Linked DNA regions of Struthio camelus. The protein of the gene in region 2 purifies or fractionates together with the protein of the main gene of each other region. This does not show direct contact. Links are inferred from orthologs where the notes say so. Each region holds a gene or a part of one and is shown on either strand. Other genes may lie near its edges.

Region 1 (7,335 bases), on a different chromosome or scaffold from region 2:
AAGTCTTCGGGTAGTAGCTCTAGAACCTTTAAGAAAAGGAAAACATATGTCTTTAAAAATACCAGAAAGGGAACTTTTTTATCCCTTCTCAAAGACAAGTCATACTTAACCTCTCCCTTATCTCCCCCATATATTGGGAATTCAATTCAAAGAACAAAGGTCATCTTTGATAGTAACCCTTTAATAAAGAAATTCAAAAGTACACTATTAAAAACACTTATTTTTAGCAGTACAAATTTCACTTACTTTGTCCACAAAATAAGGAAAAACAATTCAATGATGGTAACAGCAAGATTTGAAGTGGTAAAAAAATAAAATTTTAATTCAGACCATTGTTCAATAACTAAGAAACCCATCCATTAGGTCCGGCTGAATGGCAATTTAAACACATAGTTGATCTCTTGGATATATCTGGGTGGTAAGATGGTGGCAATAATTCGGCATAAAGCTTTGTAAATTGTGTGTGTATGTTATTTAAAGAAAAAAAAGGAAAAAAAATAAAGATCAAGACCAGTAATGTGAGTCTGTATGGTACTGTGCCATCTAAAACCACCTCCAAAATGAGGCAACTGATTACACTCAATTAGTATGTTATTTTCCTGTGCTGACTTGTACATCACAAATCTATATTGACAGCATACAGCTCCACAGATAACTTGTTGGCATTTAGGTTATGACCGATGTTCACGTATGTCTCACTTAAAAGAGAGAATGAAGACTGTCTTCGCACCTTTATCTCTTTCAGACTAGAAAACAGGGATAAGACTATTTTACTGCAATTCAATAAACTAGAGATACTACTCACAAACTACTGTAGTCACCTGCAAAGGTTCCTGTAGGGAATGTTAATTAACAGACGATATAATTTACTGCTCTAAGCATAACAATCCAAGAAAGACTCAAATGTAAAGCTGTTAAAATTAAGCTAAGCTTAATTTTCCAAATGTTTCCCTCGCAAAAGTAAAAGAAAACTACATGAACAGTCAGAATACCTATGCCTACAATAAATACCTTTCTCTACCTTCAGAAAGTTTCTCTTTTTCAGAACAAAGGAAACCACCTTTGCTCCGTATTCACATATGGAGACCCTCCACTGTCTTACTAGTGACAGATCAACCCAACCTCTGTCACAAATAAGTGAATAGCTACTTGAAAGCATTTCTAGAGTCAGCAAAACAGTTCAGTGGCATCACCACGCGCTCCCATTGCCATTATCAAGTATTATTTCCGCAAGTTTTGGAGACCATTTTCTTCAAAGTTCGTTTTGATGCTTAAAGTTCTAAGTAGTTTAAAGCTCAACTAACATTAAAACTCCCTTTCTGAAAAGCAACGAGAGAGCTGCTTTTATGAGCACTAAAACCATCCCCAAATGAAAATCTGTAAAAAACAAACAGGCAAAATATTAAAACCCCTAAAGGCGAATTCCAAGCAATCACCTCAAACTCTCCAATTAAGACCACAATAATCAAAAGCAAAATAACACGGGGCCTGAGATTTTTCTTTACCACCTCGTAAAGGTGAAAAGACTTTAGAGAGAAGATTCAGTTTTTTTTTTGTTCTGTTCTTCTTCTCTGAACAAACTAGTTGACAGCGCCCAGCCTCGGCAGCCCCCAGGCCGGGTGGGGGCAGCTCCTCCCGGCCCCCCCGGTGCTCCTCCCGCCGCAGACGAGGCCTCCGGAGCCCGGGCGGGCGCTCGCTCCCTGTCCCGGCCAGACACTGCAGCCTCCCCGTTGCTTTCTCTTCCTCCCCAGCCAGGCCCCCCAGGCCACGGCGCGGAGAAGGCGGGCCGCCCCGGTGCCCCCCCCCCCGCGCCCCGTAACGCACTCACAGGCCACGCACAGGAGAGGAAACCCCACAGGAGCGCAGAGCCACTAACGACAGCGCGGCCTCCGCTCCCTGCGCGCCGCCATCTTGGGAACCAGGCCAGGCCGCTCTCTGCGTCATCACGCCGACGTCACGAGGGCATAGCGCGCAAGCGCCGAGCCGCTGCCGTCTAACGGCCAATGAGAGCCAGCAGCCCCCGCAGCCAATCCCGTCTCCTTCAGCGTCTGCGAAGCTCGAGGAGGAGGCACGCGACGCGCTCCCGTAGCCTTAGAATGACCAATCAGAAAGCAGGAGCGAGAAGATTGCAAGCCGAGCCAGCCAGTAAGAAGCCGGAGGCACGGATTAAACTGCAGCCAATGGGAGGGAAGCAGCCATGCCCTTTTCCAAGACCGGTAGCGAAGGCGAAGGGGTGGTCGCTGGGGATTGGCCGCTACGGGCCTCGGAGGGGGCGGGGTCTTCCTTGTCGGCCCGGCTGGGCCAATGGCGGCGGCGGAGGGCGGGGCGGGGCCGCGGGCGGGGCCGGGCGCTGGGAGTGCGGGGCTCGGGCTAGCTCGGCCGCCGCCGCCCGCCCCCGGCAGCGGTGTCCGGTGAGAGGAGCTCGGCTTCGGCGCCGCTCGCAGCGGGCGAGGCACAGCCGCCGCCGGGCGGGAGGTAAGGCGGGGCCCCGCCCGGCGCCCCCCCGCCCGCTGAGTGGGAGGCCAGCGCTGGCCACCAACTCCCCCCCGCCCCAATCCCGTTGCCCCCGGCCCGGACCCCCTCCCGGCGGGGAGCGGCGCCTTCCCTCGGCCCCCGGAGGAACCTCGCCCCGCCGCCCGCCCCGCCGCTTCCCCTTCCTGTGGGACGCGCAACTCTTTCCGGACACCCTCCTCCCCGCCGCGGGGCGCGCAGCGCCGGCCCAGGCCTCGCCGCCCCCTTCGCTCCCGTCACGGCGCTGTCCCCAGGCGCTCTCCCCGCGGCGTTTCCCCCCTGCCCCGCGCGCTCGGCTCCGTGGCAGCCCCCGCCTCGCCGTGGCGGGCAGGCTGGGCGCCCACTCGCGCCCTCGCGGGCGGCCGTTAGCCGGCCGTTAGCCGCCGCGCGCCCACGCGCCGCGCCCCCCCCTCGCTCGCGGGGCAGCACCGGCCGGCCGGCCGGCCCGCCCGTCGGGGGCGAGGCAGCCTCCGTGCCGCCCGCCGCGGGGAGCGGGGTGACGCCGCTCCGCCTCGCGGCTCCCACTCGTCATCCTGTTTCTCTCTCCCACTTACTTGCCAGCGGAGATTGGCGTGCTCTCCGCGGCCCACTGCCTGTTTGCTCTTCTGCTCCGACGTGGGTGGGTTTTGTTTAAACCCGAGCGGCGTGATTTCAGAGTGAGTTGAGGCAGTGGCATTCACTTCTTAATGCTCGTTTCCCTTGTCCCATCCCCCAGGCGTTGATAAGAAAGCGGAGTTAAACAAATGGCTTAAAACTGCTTTCTCCATGATGTAATTCCTTTTTTTACATGTGACACATTTTGAATACTCGCTACTCCTACTTCTCTAGCTTTCCAAAGCCTCCCATACCTCCAGTTCTCAGGATCTGGCTCAGTAACAGTTCTGCTGGTATGCGATTCTTTAGTGCCTTTCCATGGCAGTGAAAGAGCACTCTATTTTGTTTCTTTTTCTCACGCAATCTGGAACTTGCTTTTATAAAGGGGCTAAACCTAATAGGAAAAAAAGTGACTTAAAATTAGAATAAACGTTTTACATTTAGGCCAAATATGATTCAAACTGCTTATCTGAGTGGGAATTACTCCTGCAACAGCCTGGGTTTTGCAACCTCTCCATATTACTACAGAAGTTGCTGAAACAGAACTTGTATTGAAACTGTTCCTCATCTTCCTTTCCTACTCGGAGCAGGACTTGTATAGAGTTGCTTAAGTTGAGGCTGTATTTTGCATGTGTCTCTAGTTCTGAACAATTTCCTAACCTCTACGTTAGAGTGGCAGTTCAAAATAAAGCATTTTGAAACTACTGTACATGAGTAAGAGGCTGTAGCGTTCTACATGTCTGATATCTTGTTTATGTATAAAATAGTAAGCAGGTGTAGAAGTTGTTAGAGAGAATAGCATGATGGGCCAAAAGAGGACGGTATTTTCAGATATTTGTGCTCAGTTAGGTTATTTAATATGGTAAAGATTCAAGCATGCTAGCTTTCACTTTAATGGAGGTTTCAGTTATGTTTAGCTAGCTGGATTGAAGTATGTGTTGAAATAAAATCTGAAAAATACATCCTTGTCATGGCACCCGTACAGATAGATCTAGGGTCTTGGCAAGGGAGGGAGAAGCTTAAGCCCTGAAATAATTTGTAATCTGTATATTGCTGTTTCCAGTTAGGGATGGTCTGAGCTATATGCCGAAGTTGGATCTAAATTTTTAAATAGGCTTCTAGTTGTGATATTGTACATACTTTAAAAATAAAACCCATTATGTCCCTCTGTATAGAAAAGTGAACGTCTTCGTGACATTTTTATTGTAATTAATGCAATGAACTTAGGTATAATATTTCACCATAATGATACTGCTCATACAGTGCAACTGATGTATTGGGTATTTTGCAGAAGATGAGTGTTTTGGTGGTGATTCTTTAAAAGAAAGAGACAGTCTGAGGGTATTAGAGATCTCAGGGGATCTGTATTTTTGCTACCAAAACATCATAATGTTCAGCACTTGGTAAAGTAAGGTAGGACATATGATGCCGGTGTGTTAAGCAACAAGTCTTTTTGGAGGCCTGGGCTGTTTTGCAAGTTCTGTCTGTGCCCTGATGTCTGAACCAGGGTGACTTGCTTGATTCTCAGTTGTGAGTTTTAGATTTATAAAGTGAGATTAATATTTTATAAGTGAAGACTATATTTAAAAATATATGAATAAAAAGAGAGTGCATCAGTTTTCATTCTTTTTACTTTAAAGAAAGGAATTTGGAAAAAACTATGTGGGAGTCTTCAGAAAGAGCTAAACTCAAGTAAAAAATGAAATGACAAGAGTAGGATGGCAAAGTAGTGGGAGTTTAGCCTGTCTATTTATTGTTTTCAGCTTTTTTTTTTTCGTACAGAGTAAATATTTTTACTCTTCTGGTCAAAGAGATGTCTAAGGAGCTGGTTCATAAGGGATGTGGAAAGGTTATTAATCGTTGAGAGAGAGAGCCTGAACTGTTGCCTGTGTGGCAGCTAATAAACTCTCTTTCGCTGATCTTCAGGGAAGTGTTTACAGTAAGAAGCATTCCTCCTGCTGAAGACAGTAAGCTTCAGTGGAACAACGGGGAAAAAAACTCATATTTTTAGGTATTAATCAGTTCAGGATTAGCAAGCTGGTAAGTGAGAGTGTTTGACATACAAAAGCATGTCTTTGGATGCCTTATATATTGCCACTCTTCTTTACCCCTTTAGCATTTTGTGTTATTTACCATATAAGAGTTTCTTACCAGAAGTTTATACTTAATTTGAGGCAGTTCTGGTTTTAGTATTTAATCAGGTTCAAGAGAAGTGAAAGAAATAATGTCGGACTCTCTAGTGATCGCATTTCCTACTTTTCTAGTAGTTTTAAGAGTGTTTTGAGCATGCCAGGTCAAAGTATTGTCAAGACAGTGTTCTTTGATTCTAATTATAAGACTCAATGTCTTTGGAAGTTGCTTCCCGATAACTAGCTGAATTTGGTAAAATAGGTGGAATTTATAAGTGGATCAAATAAACATTGAGCTAATTTTAGTAACTATTTTTGATATTACTCTATGGCTTGGCTGTTTATCATAGTAATATTTTTATGATATATTTTTTCTTTCACCTAAAATCGAAATGGTTTAATACAGTTTGCTCTTTTCGGAGTAGTTGCGTGCAGCGCGTACAGCAGTAGTGCTAACTTACCTTTTTTCCAGATGCTTTAGACTTGCGATAATATTAGTGAACCTATGATGGTACAGCTTCTGTTTACTGATGGTACAGTAAACGGGATTCTGAACTTAGTTCTGACTGTCCTTTGTCAACTAAGTTTAGAGGTACTTCAGCTTCCTAGATCTGATTTCAGAGGTTTAAAAATATCTTAGGCAAAAATGAAGTGTAAACTATGTGAAAGGACCAGTCAAATCTATAAATAAAGCACAGCAGGAGTTTTTGATATTACCGTAAAAGTGCCCCATTAGTGTTGTCTGTTTTAGTCTGTGAAGAAGCTTATATTGTAGTAATTAAAAACAAGTTTAGTGCTCGAGTATTTTTACATTGCTTTACGTTCTTGCTCTTGCCCTTCCTCTGCCATAACCTTCTTTGCTCCCTTTTTCTGTTTTTAGCTCCTCTGTCCTACATTGGCTCTTCCCTACATCTCTTCCACCAACTGACTATTCCAGTTGTTCTGTTCCTGTCTGTCCTTTACCCCTTTTCCTATGCTGTTCAGCAGTTCTGCTGCTAACTTTTCTGTACCTTACTCTTTGGAATGCTGAAGAGGTAGCACTAAAATCTTGTTTTCATTTCTGGGATCTGTTATGCAGGTTAGAGCAGAGTATCTGTCAGATGCAGGAAAAATTCCATGTTGTCTTTCTTTGAAGCGTGTTGAGATGTGAGTGACTTTGAGTTCAGTTTTATCTCCAGTGAATACGTGGGAACAGGTGTTTAGATGCCTCAAAGTTGGCCAGGTCTAGGTGATACACTGTTAAGGTGGAAGGTGAGTTTCTGAGCCTCTAGCTGCTGATGTCCTAATAAAAAAGAAAATGGAACTTCTAATTTGATTCTTCTACATTTCAGAAGGATTTTTGAGCCCAAGGCTGTTAAACCCTGTCAAATGCATGGGATGACAGATTAGTATCTACTTCCTGTTATGTTTTACTCTCTGATGTCTTCTCAATATTTCTGAAGGACCTCTGCTGGAAGTGACTGAATGACTGTGCTTGAACTACCATGGCTTTCAGCCAATGTGTTAATGTAGGCCAAAACTGTCTTTGTAACTGAAGATGGACTGTAAATGTACCAGCTATAATTAGCTGCTTTGCAGTTGTTTCTGCTAGAGTGCCAGCAACCTGCGCCTGAAAGGAGAGTGCATCTCTGGGGCTCTTGTGCTAGCACTTTGGTTCTTTTGCATGTAGGTCAATTTCTAGATTTTTTTAAAAATATATTTTATAAATTATATATACACATACATTTTTATATGTATATTATATGTTATATAATATGTAGGGCATGAGAGCAAATACATTGTAGGGTATGATAGCGATGGAAATATGCAACTCCCCAAAAAATTAAAACTCTTTCAGTGCAAACATTGCATGTATGTCTTAATAAGCAGCTAATAGAAATAGCAGAATCTTCCTTTGAAAATTTTTAATGCTTTATAACACTAGTGCCCAAGTCTTCATGTACTGTTATTTTAGCAGAGTGGAAACAGGATATCTTCTGTGGGTTTCCTCTTCCAAGGAACCTGCATCATAGGTCCAGTACTTCCCATGTGCTGGATCTCACTCAGCGTGCCTATATTGATGATAATTTAAGAGGATATGAATTATGGGGAAGGGCTGCAG
Region 2 (7,411 bases):
TTTTCATCTAAGGCTCTAGCCTAGGTAGAGGTCATATACTTACAAGTTAATAATAAGGACCCGCATAAAATAAAACCAGGAAAATTCACTTGGACATAGACTTCTGTGCACTGCTTTCCAGAGCTCTCTCAGGTTTGCCCAGTTACCCTGCCTTGATTGTATTGTGCTTTTTTTTTTTCTCCCCTCCAGTGCCTATGCTCACTTAAGCAAGTCAGAATAGTAGGTGAAAAATCACTTACCCTTGCAAAACTCTCCTGCGTAACATTAAGCATTACAAAAATTTCGCATGCGTTATTGCAGGAGACGTAATTGGTTTGACTGAATCTTGAACGCCTCGCGTGGCCGTTCTCTGCTCTCGAAGCTGATGCCAAGCGTAAGGCGGGCAAAGTGCAGGATAGCCCTACCCTGAGGGCTGGGTTAGGCCAGAGTGCCGTTCTGCTTCGCGGGGTAAAGAAAGAGCAACAAGCCAAGATTCGAGTTTAGGCTCTTCTAGCCTAAGGATTTAAGTAGTTTTCCAGCGTCTCAGCCAACCTCTGCGCTGTTGCAAGAGAGAGCCAAGCCCAACTCTGCTGATTGGAAAGCTTGGCTTGTAGGCTGACAGTTGCATGGATTTGCTTGCGCTTTGGGCTTCTCTGTATGTTTTCCAAATGCAAGCCAGCAGACAACGCGAACCTCCAAGAGGTAGCTTGTGCTACAGTTTGAGGTGCTGGCTGAGCCGTAGGTGACGGAAGTGTGCTGAAACAGGGCAAAAACAGGCTCTGATGAACCGAGTTGTTGCAGACGGCCGCTTTAACAGTGTTGCGGGTGGGGAAAGAAACAGAAAGGCTAAGTAAAATTGCTTTTAGAAGTGTGGGATTACTGTCTTTTTCCAGCAAAACATCGGACAGACAGATATCTAGCTGGGTTTCTAAAATGAGGATCTTTTGTCTCCCTGTTAAACGTGTGCTTGATCTCAACCCAAAGCTTTATTACTATGGAATTTCCCAAGCGTCTCAGCCAACAGTAGACAGCGAACTCTATTTTATTCTGTTCTTGGTTTCAACTGTCACACTAGAAAAGATGATTGCCCGTGTAGAAGTAGGCTTTCACCTTATAAAAATCCGTCTTTAGTTCAGTACTCACTTGTGAAACAGTTTAAATCATGATCATGATGAATGCACTGGATTTGCTTTGATGATTGGGCTCCTAGAGAACTAATAGGTAAAGCAGAAAGGGTGAAGGGCATCCCTGTGCCCTACTGTGACTAGGCCACTCTATAGGAGTACTGTAGATGAACAAAATGTACAAATCCCACGATCTTGCTGAAGGGAAAAAAAAAAAAGTCTTTATTTTACATGTGTAGGAGACTGTTTTCACCATAATTTGTTATTATGCAAATCCTTAATTTTGATAGGGAATTATCGGTGTCACTGTGTGGAACTAATGACATGCAGAAAAAGGAGAACTGCTTATATGAGTTTCTCTGCTGTATATAGACTTCTAAAGTAAAACAAAGACAATAGAGAGGACAATCCCAAATCTGCTTTATGCCTCTCGCTGTTAAAAGCAGTCAGACCCAGGAAATACCTGCTCTGAATTGCTTCAGTAATATGATGCACCAGCACTTAAGTCATTTAGACTTATGGCAGGTTTGCATAACAGTAGTGCACTGGTTTCTACGGGGAAAAATAACAATGGTTTATCACACACTTTGTCAGCAGCTAGCACAGGTTTTGACGTTCTCCCACCCTGCTCACAAGTTCAGATAAATATTGCAGTGATCTTCTTCCCCCAGCCCGCCCCAAAGCCTACATTCCTGCATTCCCTTTAAGCAGTTTCACACACTGTAAAAAAGGCATTTTTCTTTCCCTCCAGAAAAGGGAATGTGGTGGAACCGCACAGTCGCAAGAGCTATCGAAGAGAATATCCCAGGGAATCAACTCTAGTCGTGTGTTTGCAGCCTGGAAACATCTTTACGGGACATGGGCAGTTCCTACCAAAGCAGGCTTTCATACACAGACTAAGCATGATGAAAAAGTTGCACACACGACAACTTAAGCAAACTCAGTATCTCACAAGTATTTTATTAGGTCTCCTCTTATTGCTACTCTCAGCTGAACTGCTGAGAGAACAAAATACTCCAACACAAATTCACTTTCGACAAGCCTTTAGCAACTTTGCTGATCACAAACAGTAGCAATGACCAAGCAATTTGCTAACAGGAAAGAAACCTTTCTTTGCAGTATGTTTACCTCTTCTTGCATGCATCACTAAACGCTGTCTCTAACCTGCTGCCTTACCTAAGAGAAAAGATAATTTACTCCATCACCTGTAAGTTTTCTTCTGTTTGGTTGGGTTTTTTTTTTTTAATTTTCAGAGTAAACATCTGAGGGAAGGGCCTGAAAATCTGTAGTTGTTCTTTCCTCTCTCACTTCACCATTCTGTACGTTGTAGTACAATTTATGACTGAGCTGGCTAGTAGGAAATTTAGAGTTGCCTCTCACTACATGTCGGGGGAGTCTTTACATTTGTAGCTGAAATAAGCTTTATCATGCAATACAATTCACTCCCAAAGAGACTTAAATAGTTCTCCTCTACTGAACTTTGGTTTTTCTCAGGTGTTTTATGTCTTTCAGCGTAGAAACGCGCAGAAAACTCTTAAGATTGTTTTGACTTCTCTATGTAATACACTCCCCTGCAAACCTGCTATGCCATCCACAACAGTTGGCTCCAAGGGGTTTTGAAAGAGTGGTGACTCTTGGAGCTTCAGAGTGACACTTTTTTTAGTTGTTTATGTTGTTAATGGTTTTTTTTTTCTCCAACCATGAGGACTGCTTAGGATGGTAACGGTGCCAGTTGGGGAAGGTGGGAAAGCTTGAGCGATGTCATTTCCTCCGACACATTATTATAGTCTCTTTAGGCAACTTGTATTTTACCACGGCTTTGGCAGACCCTTTTCAGTCAAAAAAACGAAATGAAGAATAAAATCATGGTGCATATGACTTTAGTGGGGCAGGCGTGGGGCTGCAGACTGACTTGATGAGCATCATGAATTTTCAGCTGCACCCTTCAATCCTAGCCCTTTGCCCTCTGGGGTTGCTGTGCCTCTGTAAGGTGAGCAAGGCAAGCGGGAGCTCTCTTTTTTTTTTTGAAAGGAGGGGGCGGCTGTATCCCCACGGCCAGCGACGGGAGTGGGGGGCCCTCAGGCCGCCCTACAACGGCCGCCTGTGGGAGCCGGGTTTCCCCCCGCCGCTGACCGTAAGATGCAGCGGGCGCAGGGGTGCGGGGCAGGCCGCGGCCCGCGCCGCGTCGCCCATGGCAACGCCGCCACCGGAAGAGCCGCGGCGCCCTTTGACCTCAGCGCCAGGAACTGCCCCTTCCCCTCCTTCCCCCCCCCCCCACCGCGCCGCGGAGCGCACGCACCGCCATTACCGCGAGACGCGGCGCGAGGCGGGGAGGGGAAGCGGGGGGAGGGGCGGCGCGGCGCTCTCGCGAGACTTGGCCTTACCTCCCGGCTGCGGGAGCGCCGGCCCCGAGCGGGATTGGTGAAGGCGCGGCTGCCCCCCCCACCATTCGCCTCCCCCCCCCCACGCTTCGCCGCCGGCCCCCGCGCATGCGCGCCGCGCTGCCGGGCCGTGTCCCCGGTGTGTGTATGCGTGTGTCAGCCGCAGGCAGCGCGGAGGCCGCGCGAGCGCTCCCGGCGGCCGGTGACGCGGGACCGGGCCCCTGGGCCCCGCCGGGCAGGGTAAGGGGATTGGGGACGAGCGGAGGGCCCCGCGTCGCCTCGGACGCCCCGCCACCAGGCGGCCTGACACGGCCTGACCCCGCCGCCCGGCCAGGGCCAGGCTGTGGGAGGAGGAGAAGGAGGAGGAGGCGGCGGCGGCCCCGCGGCCCGCACCCGGCGGCCGCCCCCCCCCTCCCTTCCCCGCGCGGCGGCGGCGCCGCCCGGCGCACGACGAGGCAGCCGCGGCCCGGCATGGAGTGAGCAGGCCGCCGCCAGCAGACACTTCCGTATTGCGGGAGGCCACGCCAAGCTCCCGCCGTCCGGCCCCCTCGGCGCCGCGCCGCCGCCGCCGCCGCGTCCCCGGCCGGTCCCCGCCCGCCGCCCCGGCCCGAGCGCGACCTCCTTATGAGGCGGCGCGGCCCCATGTGAGGCGGCGCCGGGCGGGCGGGCGGGCTGCGAGGCGGGCCGGGCCGGGCCCCGGCGGAGCGAGCGAGGGGAGCGAGCGAGAGAGACCCCGCGGCCGGCGGGGGCCCGGTGTGTCTGCGCCGCGCCGTGTCTCCATGGCGCCGGCATCGCCCTGAAGGAGGCGGCGGCGGCGGCGGCGGATTCCCTAGGCCGCGTCCTCGTCCTCGGCCTTGAGTGATCTCGATGCCGAGCACCTCGGACGCGGCGGCTGGCGGGAGCGGGGGAAGCCGGGGCTGGGCGAGCGGCGGCGGCGGGAGCAGCAGCAGCTCGGCGGTGGAGGCGGCGGCCGACAAGAAGCGGCTGCATCACCGGAGACGGAAGCGCTTCGCGGCCCAGCCGCAGCCTCCCCCCCCGCCGCCGGCCCCTCACCCGCTGCTCTTCCCGCTCCTGCAGCCGCCCCTCCTGCAGCCCCCGCTCCTGCAGCCGCCGCTGCCGCCGCAGTCCCTGCTCTTCCTGGCGGCCACCGGCGCCTCCTCCTGCTGCGGGGACGGGGGGGAGCAGCGGAAGCGGCCGCGGGGCAAGCGGCGCTCGGGCTCCCGGCACAAGCGGCGGCGGGGCCGCGGGGGCGGCGGCGGCGGGACCCAGGAGGCGGAGAAGCGGCGCGGTAGCGGGGGGCTGAGCACCCTGGTGGAGGAGTACGACGACGTGAGCTCCCAGTCCGAAGGGCTGGTGGGCAGCGGCGCGGCCGGCACCGGCGGCGCGGGCAGCGGCGGGGGGAGCCCGGCCTCCTCCTCGGGCGGCGGTGGCGGCGGCGGGAGCCAGCGCCAGCGGGGCGAGTCGGAGAGGAGCAGCCGCTCCCGCCGGGAGCACCGCGGCAGCAGCGGCCGCTCCAAGGAGCGGCACCGCGAGCACCGCCGGCGCGGGGAGGAGAAGCCGCAGCAGGAGGGGGCGGCGGGCCGCGGCGCAGCCGAGGCCTCCTCGTCCTCCTCCAAGTCCCGCAGCCGCCACAACCACACCGGGGGCCAGGACCGGGAGGGACTCAAGAGCAGCAGTAGCGGCGGCGGCGGCAGCGACGGCCGCAGGAAAGGCTCCCTCGCCTCCCCCGGCAGCGGCAGGAAAGAGCGGGAGAGCAAAGCGCACCGGAGCCGGACTAAAGCGGCCAAGGAGCCGCCCTCGGCCTACAAGGACCCGCCGAAGGCCTACCGAGACGACAAGCCCGAGCCCAAGGCCTACCGGCGGCAGCGCTCCTCGCCCAGCCCCGGCCGGGACGACAGCCCGCCGCTGCACCGCTCCTCGCAGAGCCAGCGGAGCCGCAAGTCGCTCAGCCCCGTGGGCGGCCGCTCGCCTCTCAGCCCCTACAGCCGCCGCCGCTCCCCCAGCTACAGCCGGCACAGCTCCTATGAGCGCGGCGGGGATGTGTCGCCCAGCCCCTACAGCAGCTGGCGCCGGTCGCGGAGCCCCTACAGCCCTGTCATCCGGTGAGTGCGGGGCGCGGGAGCGGGCGGGGGGCTCGGCGGGGAGAGGAGGGGAGGGGGGAGCCCCAGGCCGGGCCAGAGGAGAGACTTGCAGGGAGCAACAAAAGCCCTCCCTCTTGCCCTCTCGCTGCCAGAGAGCTTGGGCGGGGGAAGGGGCCGGGACACATACAAAGGTCTTCCTGTCCTGCCTGGAGAGAAGGGGAGACACAAGGCTCTTCTGCAGCTATTTCTATCTCTTAGAGACTATGTAGCTTGAAGAAAATGCTTTTAAAAGCATTAAACAATAAGAGAACGTTTTCAGATGAGACCGCTGCCTTGAATGGAAAGCGACTCTAGGAGGGCAAGGTTTTTGAAGGACCGGTGTTGTTTTTTTTAATTTTTCTTTATAAAATGTGGAGATTCCCAGGTACGTTCTTACATATACTGTGGAAAAGGATGCGTGCTGAATACTTTTGTGCTTGGTTTAATCCCCTCCAATCTAAAGAGGAACCAAACTGAGAAGCAATTCACGTTACTAGTGTTTCTTGTTCTTCAGAGGTCTATAGACAGGTTTAGACTTTGTTTCGCCAGGAAAAGGAGCTAATGTCAAGTTTTGTTAAATTGCCTTTGTGCTTTACGCTACCTATAAAAACATAACAATCTCTTTTCTCGGTAAAGACTACTATAACATATACTGTGTCCATGTTGTATTTGACGTGCCCTTGCAAAGAGTTTTATTACTGTTAATGGGAACTCAGAATGTAAAGTTCAGCATTGCTGTGACTTGTTTAGGTTGTATAGAGAGAAAACAAATAACGTGGACTCTGTCTCTATAATCAGACACAAACAGTGGTGCAGAATTAAAGCACTTTATTTTAAACTTTAAATTCTCAGTGATTTTACTGCTTTTGGTCAATATGTGTTCTTGACGGGAGACTTTTATTTCCCCTATTGGAATCTTACTGTTGCCATGTTGTTTACAGGCTTACTTGTAAACTTAAAGTGAACTTAGATTTGAAATGTATAAGGTGCTTTGTCATTCCCCTGGCAAGAATTTGTTTAAAAGGTATTACCTGGTAGATTGTATGAGAGCTGTTGTCTGGTGTTTCTAATTTTGTATCAGTTACCATTTGGGGTGTCACGCAGCGTATCCAGTGAGAATGCTGAAGCTGTTTCTGTGTTTCACTGACGGTCAGTAAGGTCTGCTGTTCTGGGTGTGCATCAAACGCTGTTGAAAGAGAGAAGTATCAAAACTGCGTCCTACTTTGTTCAGAGGGATAGAACAAAGGTGCCTTTGCAAAAGACCGTGATTGTTTTGAGGTACGCTTGTATGGAATAATTTTGTAAACAATAAGGTGTTTCAAGCAGAAAATACTGTGAGTGCCCCGAAAAAGAGCGGTTTTTTGTTGCTGTTCCATGAGAGCCTGTTACAAGTAGCCAAGGATCCTTTTTTCAAGATGATTTGAATAGCAGAATAGCAGGAATGTTACGGGAATATTCTGACAAAATAGTCTGATTTCCAGGATGTTTTCATTAGATCCTTTTGTCTTGGAATAGGTATGATAACGACGACGAGCCAAACTGTGGCGTGTGAAGTTTGCACTCAAGAATAGCCATGTTAGTCAGACTGATGGTCCAGTTGTTCTGGGATCCTGCCTTGAACAGTGGCTAATAGTGCTGTAGTAGAAGGTGCAGGGGATTTTGTAGTGGACAGCTACAGAACAAAGTGCAGGAAGTGTTTTTTTTCCTGTCAGTAGTGGGGCTCTGATTTGAAGCTTTTTTTTTTTATTATTATTCTCTTTGTCATAAGTGTCTAAACCTTTCTTGAGTTGCAGATGTGTTTCCAAGA

The links.
Region 1: the proteins of CDK13 (region 2) and CCNK purify together in Homo sapiens (affinity purification with mass spectrometry; 4 studies listed by BioGRID and IntAct, counting the BioPlex papers as one, with this or other methods). This does not show direct contact. The link is inferred for Struthio camelus from reciprocal best matches to the Homo sapiens genes CDK13 and CCNK.

What each region holds. Positions count from the first base shown.
Region 1 is NC_090946.1:69,598,582-69,605,916, reverse strand, and holds the start of CCNK (cyclin-K), read right to left. Parts: upstream 3,180-7,335; 5' UTR 3,066-3,179; intron 2,476-3,065; exon of another isoform or gene 2,328-2,475; intron 2,091-2,327; 5' UTR 1,829-2,090; intron 27-1,828; 5' UTR 1-26. UniProt on the Homo sapiens protein: Regulatory subunit of cyclin-dependent kinases that mediates activation of target kinases.
Region 2 is NC_090943.1:58,323,107-58,330,517, forward strand, and holds the start of CDK13 (cyclin-dependent kinase 13), read left to right. Parts: upstream 1-4,198; 5' UTR 4,199-4,351; coding exon 4,352-5,586; intron 5,587-7,411. UniProt on the Homo sapiens protein: Cyclin-dependent kinase which displays CTD kinase activity and is required for RNA splicing.